Linked DNA regions of Alligator mississippiensis. Each later gene encodes a partner of the first gene's protein in a complex. Links are inferred from orthologs where the notes say so. Each region holds a gene or a part of one and is shown on either strand. Other genes may lie near its edges. The genes, in order: DIS3L and EXOSC10.

Evidence for each region.
Region 2: DIS3L (region 1) and EXOSC10 share a complex: the UniProt entries of both Homo sapiens proteins name them as parts of the RNA exosome complex. The link is inferred for Alligator mississippiensis from reciprocal best matches to the Homo sapiens genes DIS3L and EXOSC10.

The regions. Positions count from the first base shown.
Region 1 is NC_081834.1:5,034,277-5,042,340, forward strand, and holds the start of DIS3L (DIS3-like exonuclease 1), read right to left. Parts: upstream 3,087-8,064; 5' UTR 3,016-3,086; coding exon 2,886-3,015; intron 1-2,885. UniProt on the Homo sapiens protein: Catalytic component of the RNA exosome complex which has 3'->5' exoribonuclease activity and participates in a multitude of cellular RNA processing and degradation events.
Region 2 is NC_081836.1:11,947,849-11,954,998, forward strand, and holds the start of EXOSC10 (exosome component 10), read right to left. Parts: upstream 3,173-7,150; 5' UTR 2,952-3,172; coding exon 2,715-2,951; intron 1,144-2,714; coding exon 1,007-1,143; intron 516-1,006; coding exon 392-515; intron 1-391. Other genes in the region: serine/threonine-protein kinase mTOR, read right to left, coding at 5,488-5,503, 6,102-6,207, 6,879-6,959. UniProt on the Homo sapiens protein: Catalytic component of the RNA exosome complex which has 3'->5' exoribonuclease activity and participates in a multitude of cellular RNA processing and degradation events.

The DNA.
Region 1 (8,064 bases):
ATTATAAAAATAACTGAAAGGGAACAAAGGTCTGATTTCATTATAACACTTAGCGTGCAGACAATAGATCATTTTCTCTGCTATTGTGGAAAAAAATTGAAAAAAAGATTTGACACAAAATCTCCTATGGATTTATGCAATGGGGCGTATTCTTTCCAGGAATTGCTCCCACAGATGTTGTTACCAGCCAATAACCCACTTGCTGCTGGCAGGCTTGCCTAGAGCCCTTTCCCCATATTAATAACATGCACATAAGCATACACATTTGGAAAAAAAACACTTTGCCAAAATGGGAAAGTTTTCAAATCTAATTCATCCTAAAGGAAGGTGTCACATGTATTCGGCTGGACTTAACCATCTAAAATGTTGGAAAAAACAGAGCAGAAATCAGAAAATGTACCCAAGCATGAATTGTTTTAATTTTATTGGCATTCCAAGTAACCTCAGCATAAGCAGCTTTTTCTTTGGGTCTCAGCTATGTTTTTCCTCTGTATCCATTTGTTCCTAATGCCATTATTAGCATTTAATCATTACACGCACAGCAGTCTAGGTGGATTATATTTATGCTATACATATCTTGACAAGTTAAGTGACTTTCATAGGTTTCCTAGGAACCAATTCAATGCAATGTGTCTTGTTAACAGTGATCCTTGTAAGTTATTTAGTCACTGAGGCCAGTCCTGCTTACAGTGACATGGCAACAACTACCGTTGAACTCGGTATTAAAACTGATGGCCGAAGAGATATAATAAAGCTAATCTTTCAGCAACAGATTGGAAGGCAAATTCTCTGAAAAGTGAAATGTCACTTCAAGGTTTATATAGGCTGTGCATGTTAAGCCATCCTTACCTAACATCCAGACCTAGATTACACTAACTTCTGAGTAGGCACAGGATGCCATTTAAAAATATCTGTATGCATGATTTATGCAGACAAGCTCTCCTAGTGCATGAAATATGTTTGCTCAGCACAGCATGTTGAGTCAGGAACAAAAACAAATGTCTGCCTTCCTCCTGAATTACCTAGAACAATTACATACAGGCACATACTGACATTGATCTATAGCACAATTTACGCTGAAGTCAGGAGGAAGGGAATCAGACATGAGAGAGGACAGCATTTGGTTTTGAGACTGTAATGTGACTCTTAATCTCTGGGGGTCCATAAGCAGTTGCTCATACATCTCTACAGCCACCAGGCTTCCCAGGGAATGCTAAGCATAACCTTGCCCAACATGTTAGGCAACAAATATGCATCTACTGAGCCTCCATCTCATTAGCTGGCCAAAAATATAAAAAAGAGGTTTGTTCCGAAATGTAGTGGATCTAGGCAAACAATTTAGAAAACACTTTTTATAGGCAGGGTGAGAAACTCAACTGAAAAATCATTATTCTTTTTGTCCTGAACCTGTTGTATCTGCTATGTTAATCACCTAGTATTGTTAATATGTTGCTGCAAAGAAATTAGTGGATTAACCCCCACCCCACACACAAAAACACTAAAAAAAGGTCAACTGAAGATAATCTATTGTGTACATCATAGCACTGTGCTATACAAAACAACATCAAACTAGAAATCACAGGAGCTGGCAGTCTTCCCACATCTAAGATTGTCAGGTATAATACGGATAATTAAATTTAATTACTGAACAAAAACTGCTGCTCCTGCAGATTCAAAAAAGTTTCAATGTTAACCACTCAGCCACGTTACAAGTATACTTAATGGATATCTATAGGATTTAACTCGTGATACAATCTTGCCAAAATTTATATTTAAAAAAAAAAAAATCCTTTTAAACAGGGTGTAGTATGTAGTGGCTTGCCACATAACACTCAGAAAGTCCTTTAACAACGTATTGTGGTCCCTATATGCACACAAGCCATTTACAGGAAAGCCTCGCAACAACCGCCTTCCCTTTCCAAGTCTCTCCTTTTCCTGTTTTTTTCTTTTTAAACCCTGCCCTCGGTTATTTGTGCGCGTTTCTGGTTTGGAAGCAGGGTTGTTGGCTGTCGCCGTGTCAGTCTAAGGACGTGGGCAGACAAGGGTCTTTGGGTAGGTGCAATATAAAGAGGTGGAAAAATGTTCTTTGCAAGCTTTCCAGCACAAAGGCCCTTCTTCAGGCCTCGGAGGCTCTGCAGGCGTTACGCGCGGCACACGACACCAGCAGAGCCTGTTTCGGAAGGGCATTTTGTTACGCACTCGCTTCTCTTGGCCCTCCGAACATTTCCTGCTGCTGCGTTTGTGTTGTTTCACAGCACCTCCCAAAACGCTTCACCTGCGACAGCGCGGCCTGTTCTGCTGGACAGGCTGGAGGCCCCTCCGAAACCGCCCGCTCTTCATTTTCACTTTTTTTTTTACTTGACTACAGAAAAATAACCGGTTTTTTTCCCCGTGGCCAAAACGCTTCGTCTATGGCAGCGGGGCCTGACCCTTTCAGACTTCCGCTGGACGGGCTGGGACCTCGCCGAAACCGCCCGCTCTTCATTTTCACCTTTTGTTGGACTACAGGAAAATAACCGTTTTTTCCGCCGTTGTTATATAACAACTTTGACGGACCACGGGGGCAGGTTTCCCTTTGGTGTCGGTGGTGGTGCTGCCGGCGGTGTTGGCGATCACGGACTGCCCACAGACGCTGCCAGCTGTGTCACGATCGCGGACCACCCGCGGACGCTGCCAGTGTCGTGATCCTGGACCACCCGCATAGGCTGCCGGCACCTTTCCCCCCCACACTCGGGGTCCACCTGCACGTGTGTGCACCCCTCCGCGTCGCCAACGCGCTTCACGCGTGCTGCCAACGCCACGGGGCGGTGGCGCGGCACCCGTCACCACAGACCACCCCGAGGCCTAACGGTGCCCCGGCCCGGCCCCGCGCGCCGCCCCCTCACCGCGGGCGCAGGCGGCCCGGCACAGGGCGCTGCGGCAGGGCACGTCGGGGCGCAGGTAGTGCTCCCGCACGACGCGCACCGCCCGGCCCGGCGGCCCCCGCAGCTGCACCACCTTCTCAGCGCGCTGCATGGCGCCGGCTCCACCCGCTGCCCGGCGTGGGGGGGGCTGACATGGCGGCCGGGGCGGGCCGGGCCAGGCCCGGGGCGGAGCTGCGGCTCCGGCGCCGGGACTCGCCGCCTCGGGACAGCGGCGCTGGTATTTTTCCTACGGAGAAACAAACAACAAAACAACCACAAAGAAGTGGAAGCGAGGGGCGAGTTGTGCCCGGCTCAAAATGGCGGCGCCGCGTCCTGTCAGCGAGGGGAGGCTGCTATTGCCCTGCGGGCCTGCGGTTGTGCATCCGCGGGTCCTTCTTTCCAACACCATCTGGACCCACTAAAAGCGTGAATGGCACCTCCTGAAGAGGGAGGATGTCGTTAGCTAGGCGTATAGACGAATTCCTGTGGAAAATAATGTCCGGCCTCAAGTACGGAGCCCTACATGAGGGACGGATGCAGACGGGATGATGGGGCAAAGACTTCTCCGCCTGCCCCACGCTTCCCGTCCCAAAGAGTCCTGCCCAGCCCGAAGCACGGCATGGAGGATGGTCCGGTTGTCCTCTGTGGATACGAGACCCGCCGTCTCGATGTCCTCAGTTTGTCTCTTGAAGAGAAAAATGAAATGCAGGCTGTCCTCGCCTGACAATGTTTTGCACTTAAATGGACGCCCGGTTTCAACTTTACGATGTTTCATCTGATGCAACAAGTTGGCTGCGTCTCCCTGGAGAACACCTGTCCACGCTTCCTGGGATGCTTTCTTTAAGAAAGCAGACGAAGAAAGCCAGAAAACCCTGCAGCCGGGACGTCTGAGAAGACTCCAGCCAGGAGTCCTTCAAAAAGTCCAGCCGAGAGCCCTTCAAAACGTCACCTCAAAGAAGTCCTTCCAAATCAATGTGATCGCTATTTACAATATAAATACATTCATGTAGCTATATTACTCATCTATAGTTGATCAAGTACAAAAATCTGGGGTATTTTTGGTGAAAACAGGGTATCGGGCCTTGGTTCAGGAACCAACCCCCCATTTATAACATTGTTTCTTATGAGAAGATTGGTTCCGAGTTGCAACATTTCGATGTTAAGACACGGTTTACAGGAACCAATTGTGTTGCAAGTCCGAGGACTGCCTGTACGGTGTACAGAAAGCAAGCCACGGAGACGTGGTGTGGGGAGACATGGTGTGGGGTGGCCCAAAAAGGAGGCCACCCCACATGGTGAAGAGAAAACTAGAGGACATACAGGCGTCGAGTTTCGTGTCAATAGCAGAAAACAGAAATGTCCTCTACGACGGCCATGAATGCCACGTGCCCCCGGAGGCTGGGGGGGCAAGGTGAGCTCGATGGCAATGTTGACGACACTTTTTCATATAGACATTCAGGCTGGAAGGGACCCCGGAGGGTCATCACGTCCAGCCCCCATAGATTTCATAGACATTCGATAGATTCATAGACATTTTTGCAGGGGGTGCACTGCCAATCTCAGGGGATGCACATGCACCCCTTACGCATCGCCAATGATGATGGCCACCCTACGGTTTGGCCGTGCCAGGCTGCCAACTGACAGCCCCCAGGCTAAGTATAACAGCTTGAATAAGGACCTGGCGCTTGGGCTGAGATTATGATTGGAAATCCTTTTTTGGGCCACCCCACTCCCTGTTTCTGTGGCTCCGGGGGACTCTTCTGGACATCTGTGGCCAGGGTCTTGCCCAGCCCAAAGCACAGTTTGTGCATGCGCCGCTGCCGACTAGCAGTGCCCCATAGCCATGAGGCTGAAGTTGGTTACTCATTAAATTCTCTCTCTTTAGGATGTGTAATTCATTAACAATAAGCTTGTATTGGGTACAGATTCGCTTTAAAAAAGGAACTGGGAATAAGGAATGGGGAATAAGCAACCAACTTCAGCCTCATCCTTTGGGGTGCCTTGAGATCCTTTCAAGCGTGCCATGGGGCACCACACTGTTGGGTGTGCAAACATGACTCGCAAGATAAACGCAGAGATTTCATGTAGGACTCCATAGTGTTAAAAGCATTCTGCCCTGCTGCGGTCTTTCCGAGCTCTTTGCAACAGAAGAATCACTCTAGTATTTTTCTGTAGAGAAAAAAAAATGAAAATGAAGGGTTGGCATTTTCCAAGGGGTGCCTTAAGTCAAAAAAAGGGTCTTAAGGAAATACGAAGGATACCAACGGGTGAGTTGTCCCCTACTCCAAATGGCAGTCATCTCCTGCTTCTGTCAGGGAGGGAAGCAGAGGAGATGGCCACTGTTTTCCTAGAAGCTATGCCCAGGGTGGCGGCTGGTTCTTGCTTTCCCATGAGAGTGAGGCCATGCCTGCAAGGAAAATGATGGCCACTCTGTTTACAGAGCGCTCTTGGGACACAAGGACTGTGAAGCGCATGGAGCCCCAGTGAAAGGGGTCAACGGAAGAAGAGGGGGAGCAGAGCTGGGGCCAGGGTGATGCGGGGAAAAGAAGAAGACAGCGAGGGTCAGAGCAGATTTTGGAACAGGATGGAAACTGCAGGGAGAGTGGAAAGGACTGGACTCCTTGGGGTATGATGAAAAAGTAGAGTAGATGGGGAAGATACTTTTTCCTACTGTGTGTTTTAAGTCTAAGGATTGAGTCATTTACACTCATGCTTTGGAGGCAAGTGGCCTTCCCCTGGAACTTAAATCACAAAGCAAACCCCCACCATCAATTACAGAGAAATAGCATGATGTTGGGAACAAGGGGGAGCAGGGGGGTTGTCTCATGGAGTGCACCGGGTTGGCAATATGGTGCAGAGAACATAAATATCAATAGAGCCGCTTTTCCTAAACTGCAGGTTGCCAACCCCCAAAGGAGCTGTGCGGGGGAAGAGGTGTCAGATAGCGTAATTGATAGAGATTTAAAGGAGGAAAATTTTCCATATTTTTACAATAAAGAGAAGCCCAGCTCCCTAATTATATGATCCCTCTCTTCCTTTCTAGAAAATGAGCACGTATTATTGTCACCCTATGGGGGCACGTGGATCGAGTGCTTCTTATCAGATGGACAGTCATACTGAAAGAAGAGCGGGGTGATACAAATGCCATGAGCTGGAATTCTTTATTTCCCAAAGTACAACTCTGCTACAAATGTTAACAACAAACCCAGCTATGCTTGCTTTCTGTACAGTGTATTTTATTAGCAGTGGAAAGTGCTAATCTCATAATCAACACTGGAGAGAAATGCAAATTAATGATGAATTGCAATTCAGAGTAGAATTTAAAAAAATGTGCATTTATTGTCCTTCAGTGTCCAAGTTTCCCTCCTGATCGAATGCAGCTCAGTTCATTCATTTTTTCATCTTCCTCTATAACTAGGGGTCTACTTGCAGTGAGACAAAGCAATTTTTGTGGCTTGATCATAGCATGAAGAGCTGATTTCACAGACATCTTCCAGTGGCTCCACCCCTCACCAGTGATTGGCAGAGAGGTAGATACTGTATAATTTAATAGCCGATTCTGTGGAAGGTAAATTATATCATAGAATTTATCATATTTTTATAAATCTAAATATTACATTTAAATACACATTTAAATATATTGTAAATATAAATTTTACATACAATATAAATTGTAACTTATATCATCATGATTTATTATATGTAGCGTTCTACAAAAAGTTTAGAATACTAATTAATGTTACCTTACTAGAAACAGCTTCACTTCACTGACTGGCGCCTTCACTTCATCTATCTCACTAGCAAATAGTAACTCAATCATGATCCATGGCTGCAGTGATTGTTGCATTGTCGTTGTATTGTGGTAAGCATTGGGACATTCTAAAACAGCGTATTACATGAATAATATGCCGGGGGGGGGTGTTAAGTTTAATTTGTGGGAAATCACGGCCAACGCAGTATTTCCTGGCGATTGTGGACAATGTCATTTTTTTCAGTTTCCACAAAAACTGCCAAACCACATATTAAGTAGATCCCTATCTATAACCTTGTTATAGTGAAAATGCTCAGGGAAAGTTACAAATATTTGGACAGTTAGATAGGAAAAAGTATGGGAATCCCAGTGATAAACCATTTGTAGACACGTATAAGATAGGTCAAAGTCAGGCACAGGGACAGAAACCATTAAGTTGGTGTTAATATACTGATGATTCTCTGGTTATTATTATTCAGCACTAATTGTTGATCCCTGAATTATTAAGAGTAATATAGTAGTTTACCTGGTTAATGAGCTATAAATTAAGCTTAACAAAATCCCTAACCTAAGAACTCTTACATATGCCTCTGCAGCAACATGCATAATGAATTCTTCAGGTCAGATCAATGTAAATGGTCACAAGGATCAAAGAAAAATCTCCAGAATCCTGTCCCTCTGCTATCTGATTTTCAGGCGAGGGATTTAACAGTAATACCTAGCTCTTAGAGCTCTTTTCTTCAGCAGATTTCAAAGTACTTTACACAGGAGGTCAGCATTATTACACATAACACATTTTGTAGATGGGGAAACCACGGCCCTGAGAGGTTAAGTGAATTACCCAAAATGAACCAGGACTAATGGTAGGGCCAGAAATAGAATCCAGGTGTTTTGGGTTCCGGTCCAGTTCTCTCTCTGCAAGAGGACAGTTCTAATACCATCACTCTTTGGGGCCTCTTACACTACATGTAAAGAACTGTTAATCCTTTTTCATGACCTCATACACATCACAGTCTCAGCTGTGCTTACAGTCCAGTGCAGGACATCCTGTGGCTGTCCTTATAGGGAGAGAAGCTAGGGATGCCGTGAGATACAAGGAAGGCATCTCAGTGCTTCCCTGTGGTTTATAGGAGAAAAATATTACAAAATTAAGTAATTTCATAAACATAGATTGGGCTACCTTCCTGGATACACCCACCAGGGAGGTATTTGCCCCAGCCCTAGAATCCTTAGTTCTTCCCTGAAGCAATGTTTTCACAGTAACTGTACAAAACTACAGTCCAGCTTCAGCAACTGAAATCTTACATCCTGCTCCTTGGAATTTCTCCAGAACTTCTCTTCATCCTTCTTGCCCATGTATTCCCTGACCTTTTGATGTCCTCATCCTTTCAGCATGAGAATGTTTCTTAT
Region 2 (7,150 bases), on another chromosome or scaffold:
GAATATTGGACTGAAAGCTCTTCCGGTCAGGGACTTTCTTTTACCACATGCAAGTACAGCACCAACACAAAGAGGTCCCCGTGTCAGTTGGAGCCTTTAGGTGTTACCCCAATACAAATACCCATTTTGCCCTTACTGTATAAGTTCCATCCTGTAGCCATGATCTGAATGATAGAAACAGACATCTGAGTAAAACAGTCCTCTGTTGGGCTGGAATGTTTTTTAACTAAAGATGGTGAAGGAATAATGCCAGGGCAAACAGCTAGTGACACTGTAAAAATGAAACAGGATTCAGATATCAGAGCAAGACTGTGACTAAAATTCTTGTAGAAAGCCTCCCCTTTGACTGCTGAACAGGGACCAGACAAAGCGACAAGGCAGGTTTACTCACCACTCGTTCAAGAATTGCATCGTTGGAGTCGACCAACAAATCAAATTTGTCTTCCAGCTCTGTCACTTTGCTGCGATCCTTGATGTGACTGCGACAGCCGTGGTACTGCATCACTCTGCTCATGCTGACAAGAGACCAGTGCACTGAACGCTACTTGCTAGATCACATTAGCAGCAGTTATATAAAACCAGAACATTTACTAAGATTCCTCCCAAGCATTGGCTTCTCTGCAGTTTGCAATATCAGATATACTACCTTCAGACACCTGAAACCCGAACATAAAATGAATGTTTACTCCAAGCATTGCTTGGCTATTAACTGCAATTAATTTTCACTGAGTCTGAGGAATTCAAAGCAAGCCATCTGTTTATATTTTTGTTTCTACCCTCTCTGACAGTTCCTCATCCAAATCCTCACAGGGAAATGGTGATGTTGCCATTAAATTGTAATATGCTGGAAAAACAGCTTAAATATTTTTTTAAGAAAGCAGTTAAAATACTTGCAATAAAATCCTCTCTCAAATTATTCTGGAACTCCCAAAGAAAAAGATTCTCTGTCTTTGCATCTGGATTTGAACCAACAGATCTCAGCGCTGGCACAAGTAAAACCCCTCACCAGTGAAGCAGCCTGTCTCCTTGCGTTTCACAGTAGGCTCGGAACCCAGGAAAGCTTCGGTAGAAGTCGTACTCGTCTCCCGGCTGAGGGAGCCCATTAGATGCCTTGGTAGCAGCCACCACTGTGCCGAGGGCATACTGTTAGAGACACAACATTAACATCATCCCACATTGTCCTTCCTTTCTTCCAGGACACCGTCAGATGAGCACTCAGTGCTCCTATACTTTGCACTGCATTACAACTTGAAGCTGAAGCAGGACTTTCAATACAGAAACTTGTGACACCCTGGTTTCGTGTAATCAAAAAAGAAACCTAAAACTAGGGGAGAGCATGGTGGAGCCAAAAGTCAAGTTTGGAATTAAACTGGCAAGAAATAAAAGATCAAAAAAGAGCTTATGAAGTCAACACAATCATTTTCTTCTTTTAATGCAGGGCTTCTCGACCTTATTGGACTTGAGGTATCCCTCGATATACTGGAGAAACCCCTTGGACAATGCCAGCTCTTTGTTTTCACTCGTTTTCTGATCGCAGAAAAATAACAGACCGATTCTTCTGCTGCAGAGAACTCGGAAAGACCAGAATAAGTCAAATTACTTTTAACCACTAGATTCCTATTTGAAATCTTTGGGTTTAGCTTGTGAATCGTGTTTACAGGCCATGGGGTTGATTAGGGCGGGTGGGATGTACTGGGTAGCTGCACCCTCCTTTGATTCCTGCTCCACCCAAAGTTTAAAACCAACCACCTACAGCAGCATTTCTACCGAGGCAGAGCTGAGGGAGTCGCTTGATTTCATGGCTTGTTCTCATCATCTACCTTCTCAACTTTTCCTTCCCCGAATGTTAACAACCCTTAACGGTCTTGAAGTCCCACCAATCCACGCTGCTCTCTCTCAGCTGTCCCTGGTAACGAAGCTCCAGTTCACAGCCCTGCAGACTGCCTTGAATTCATTTCCATGAAGTTATGTTTTATTTCAGTTCAGGCTTAAACTGAATAATCTGTCCCCGTCACATGGATAAAGCTTCTAGTTTCTTTTTCCCTGGAGAAAAAGGTCTATACCGACAACATTTGACAGAAGCAGCATGTTGGCGGCTGTGCTTCCCTGGCATCACCTGCGGCAGGTTAGAGCTAGGTCTGTCACGTCGGGGCTGGCGGCAGTCTTATAGCGTTAGATGACGGTTTGTATGGCATGGTTTGCACAGGGATGAACCTCCCTCAGGCAGGGGGTGTGACTCAATGACCCCCAAAAGTCCCTGCTCCTCCGTGCGTCTATGAGGAGTGCGCGTTGTGTTGTACGCACGGCCCCATGTGCACCCCATAACCACTGCCTGGGCCCCCCGACCACCTGGCAAGGACCCCGGGGCGCTCGAGATGGGAAGGGAGGTTGTAACAGACACATCAGGGCCAGGCTGTCTCAGTCTCCAGCAGGAGCGAAGCCGGTGCTGCCCGCGTGGGGGGGTCTGTGTTGCTCCGCCACGCGGCCCCGGAAAAAACTACACCACCCAACATGCACCGCTGCGCGCGGGCCCCGCCGGCCGCCGTACAGGAGGCACACGGCATGCTGGGAAGTGGAGCGTCGACGTGCCTCTCCAGGAAGCTTAAGTGACGGGAGACGCAGGAAGGGACTACGCCTCCCAGCATACCCCGCGCCCGGGGCCCCATGCGCTGCATCCTGGGAGAGGGGGGGCTCGGGGCTGCTCGCTCACGTACCTTGGCGAAGGAGTCGGCGTCCCGGAAACCAGGCAGCACCGCATCCCCGCCGCCTTCCGGCGGCTCCGCGGCCTCCCCGGCTGCGCCGCCGCTGCTCTTGGTCGTCATCTTGCTCTTTTTCGCTGCGCTGCCGCCGCCTCCACCCCCAGCGGTAGCGGCCATCTTGGACGTAGAGTCGCGCGGTGGTAGAGTGCTCTCGCGAGACCGGAGCCGCCATCCTGGCTGGCGCATGCGCATCTTGGGAGAGGAAGTCGCTGCTCTTGGTTCCTCCGGGCTTGCTAGGGCTAGACGCACAATGGGCGGGGCGAGCTCAGACCACGCCTCCCGCTCGTAGTTCCCGCGCTCCAGGGCGCAGCCTCCTGCGCCGCCCAGCGCAGGCCTGCTCGGCACAGCTCTCCTAGTCCGGCCTAGGAGCGCCTTCAGGGCTGCCTGCTCCCTGCAGTGCTCCAGCCCGTTGTTCCCGGGGTCTCAGAAAGCCCAGGATGAACGTGGTGCTGAGAACTAGGTGCAGGCTTCTCCCAGGACAATCGCTCTCCAATCTCACTTACAATCCTCAAAGGGGAGTTACAAAACACCTTTCCTAGATGAGCCAATGAACTTCATCAATTACTGGATATAAAAAATCATGGACTAAACATAGACACTGGATTTATGGCACATTACAACCTGCCTGCCATCCTATAAGCCCAGGTAACCTCTCTGCATTTTACCAGCTACAGCTTATCACCAGGTCAGCATCTTCCCCTTCCACTCCTACCTGCCTCACTCTCGTGGCCTCTGAGCCTTGCTGCCTGGCGTTTGCATTTTCACAGACCTGCATTTTACATATTGGTTTCTATTCCAGCCAGGAGACACCAGACTCCCCCTATGCCTGAAGGATGTTTGTGCCCAAAAGCTTGCAAAGCACACGTTTTCTGTTTAGTTGGTCTAATAAAAGATATCACTTTCCCCCCAAAAATTTGACTGCAGGATGAATGTAGTTAGATGACAGCATCTTTTGAGACATCCAAGGTCACTCATCTTCCAAGCTCACGTTGCACCGTGCGGGCTCTATGCTTGTTCAAAGACTTGAGTCACCAGCTTCATTTTGCCAGCAGGTGGAGACAACCATTCAAATCTTAAGCAATGTCACTCCTGGCCCAGTTTCTCATGTTAGGATTATTCCAAAGCGGCAACGGCAGAGAGAAAAATGAATCTAAACGACCAGGAACTTGCCATTTGTGTTATCAAGCTGTCACGCTGGAATTATTTTAAACTGACATCAAATGGAGTACCCCCATAAATTTCAAGAGCCTGTGTTATTTGCAAGGGGGTCAGACAAGGTGATCCTCACCAAACTATATCACTTTGATTTTGTGTCAGTAAAGAAGAAATTGCTACAGAGTCCAACACCTACACCTTTCGTTCCTTTGCAACCACATTCAACACAAAGATCACATGAGAGTTCTAGCTGTGTCCTGCAGAGACGATAATTTGTGTTTAGAGAAGAGGACCTAAAAATCACAACTAATGAAAGTCTACTTAAACACAGTCCAGTCAGGGAAATAATTACAATCAGCTGGATATAAACCAGAAGATTTCTAAACAGGTAAGCTTTGATGCACATGACTGATGTCCCTGAGTCTTGACTATTTTGTCTCCACTACTATTCAGAGCAAGGTAATTGCTAATTATGAGGACAAGCATACAAGAATCAAATACACAAGACACATTTTAGACGCACCTAATCCTCTATGAACAGTTTATGCCCTCCAGGGTATTCTAGTACGATGCTTTCTTGCCTCACCTTTATACTTCCTAAGTAATCCTTTGGTATAAATAAAAACTCCGTCAAAACTGTTTTTGTAGATTTTGAGTGTAATTTATTGGCACAAAAATATTCAAATACAACATGGCATCTAAACATGGCTACACTTTGTATCTTGTGCATTTTAATATTTGTTTTATTCATAAATTGTTACTTTTTTTCACCCTTACATTTTTCTCCATTTCCAAGCATGATCAGTTCTTCTCCCTTACTGCTTTTTATGCCAAGCAGTCAGTTTTTCTTAATTACTTCCCAATACTGTTCTATTGTCTGCTAGTGTGGGAAACTCCCAAGTGGTCTTTTGATTCTACCCTGCTTTCCTTTTGCCACAGGTCAACCCTTCTTAAGACACTATGACTGGATCTACCCCTATTACTCAATCTAGAATGAAATATGCTTGTTGAGTTACCACTGAAGTCTCAGCCAAACTTTATCCCTCATTGATTTCTGGGTGGGAGCAGTTTCAGAACACACGAGATAATGCAAGGTACAGAGAAAATTCTGTCTCTTGCTCTCCGGCACCCCAACTTGTTCCCAAACCCTAACAAGCCCTCGTGCATGAGTACGAGTTCACTGCAGCTGCAGCCAAAAGATTGACCAGGGCAATAATTCATTTGCAAATTATTTTAGGTTAGTTACACTGTAAGTTAAGTTCAAACCCGTATTTCATTATTTTCAATGGATCCCCAATTCCCAAAGACCAAACAAACCATATATTTATGGTCTAGTTGAGTCTTCACCGTTCTGGAAACCCAAATCAAGTCTTCTGTTTTGGACAATTCATGTTCTTTAACAGCAGCTATAAATTGGTTTAAACCAACTTTTAATATACAATAACTCTTTTCATTTACATTTCAAAATATTTGATAAAAGCTGGATTTCAGTCCAAGCTTTTCAGCTTGTAGAAGAATACATTTGGAGTGCAAAAGCCTCCAATAAAGGCTGTGGATACTTTAGAATCTTCTGTTACCAGAAAGGACACCTAAAGGAGACAACAGAAGTGATTTAAGAAGGGTGGTCTTCCCTACAGCTTCATAAAAGCAAAGACAAATGTTGAGAAGCACTGATTATACTGTCCAGAAACCTTTCTGTAATCAAGGAAAAACCCAGTATGATCCTAATGCTCATTCCCCATTATCAGACTAAAGGTCTAACATCCTTGAACACAACCAAAAGTGAAGGAACAACTAAGAGGATGGAGGCATACAGGTTCCATATTGACTACAAAGTGCACAATTTTCCAACCATACTCAGCAACTGGTATCTGCAGGATCGGAACATCTAATTTCACAAGTCTAAAACCTTCAATCTGATTGCGACTTAAATGTCCTTAATCGCTCTTCCATCTCTAACAGATTGCTTTCTTATAGGACAGGGCTTAAGGTATCCTTGCAAAACAGTCACAAAAAAGTTTGCTAAACTAGGCACAATATCTACTTGGCCATCTTCACACAATGGCCAATAAGACTAACGATATTTAACTTCCTTAATCCCCATTCAACATCCCCACAACAAGCATTTGTTCTGGAGAACTGAGAGGGGATTTTTTTTTTGCCAGGCTGGCATAACAACAAACTCACCATCCAATGTAGCACTGGCAGAGATTCTCATGGGAAGTAGCTTGTTTAATGAGCAGCTCTACTTGTGTGGCTACATCCAGAGTTTCATCATGAGAGAAGTCTCGACCTTTAAAATTAAAGGGAAACACATAAGAGAGAGACTGCATGGCAAATTACCTCGCTTGACTTTTGGGTGGTAGGTAGGGCAGCAATGTGAAGGTGAATTTTCTCTCCTCCTCTGATAATATTTATGGTGCAGAACTGTTTAAAGATGCAGAAAACTCAAAAGCCACAGTAAAATCTCTGGGGACACCAGTGTTTTCCACAATGCAGCAGCTGCTTCCACTCTACCCATTTTCCTCCTAATAGCAGGCAAAAGTAACTGTTTACCAGGTGGCTCAGCAAAAATCCCTAGAAGAAGGAAGCCTTCTCCCACTCGGTTGGGTGCGTCTTAAATAAAGAATCTCAATTTTGCAAGCTGCACAACTACTAGAGAAGAACCCACTGCTGAGAGTTATTTTCAGAGTCACCACCCAAAAGTGTCTAATCTCATCTAGTTTAGTTACAATTCTCTTTAAATTCTCCAAAAAAGATCAACTTTTTTCAGGCTGGTCCAGATGCACAGGGCTGCCGAGGAGGCAAAGCAGAAGTGTAGCTCTGTCCAATTAAGAAACTGGATAATTTGAAATGAAATTAAGACTAACACAAAACAGAAATACTAAAAGTGGTACTGGGCAGGCACACATCCATCTCCTGTTCGTATTTTTAAATGATTTTTAAAATAAAGCATATACCTACCTGTGAGTTTATCTCGAACCCTGTTAATGATCTGAATGGCCTTCTTATTTAGAGCCTCGGGTTTCACTAAACCATCCCCTACTAGAAGACAGAAGCAAAAAAAAGGTTTAGACTCAATTTCCACAATAATGACCAAAAAGTTACTCTCCCCTTTCTTCTTAATAGCTGACATAAGCCAGAAAACAAGGATAATGTTTCTGCTGAATTGAATAAAAACCCAAAGCTTGTTACATTTTTTATTCATGCTGACAGAGAACCATTCCTGCTCCATG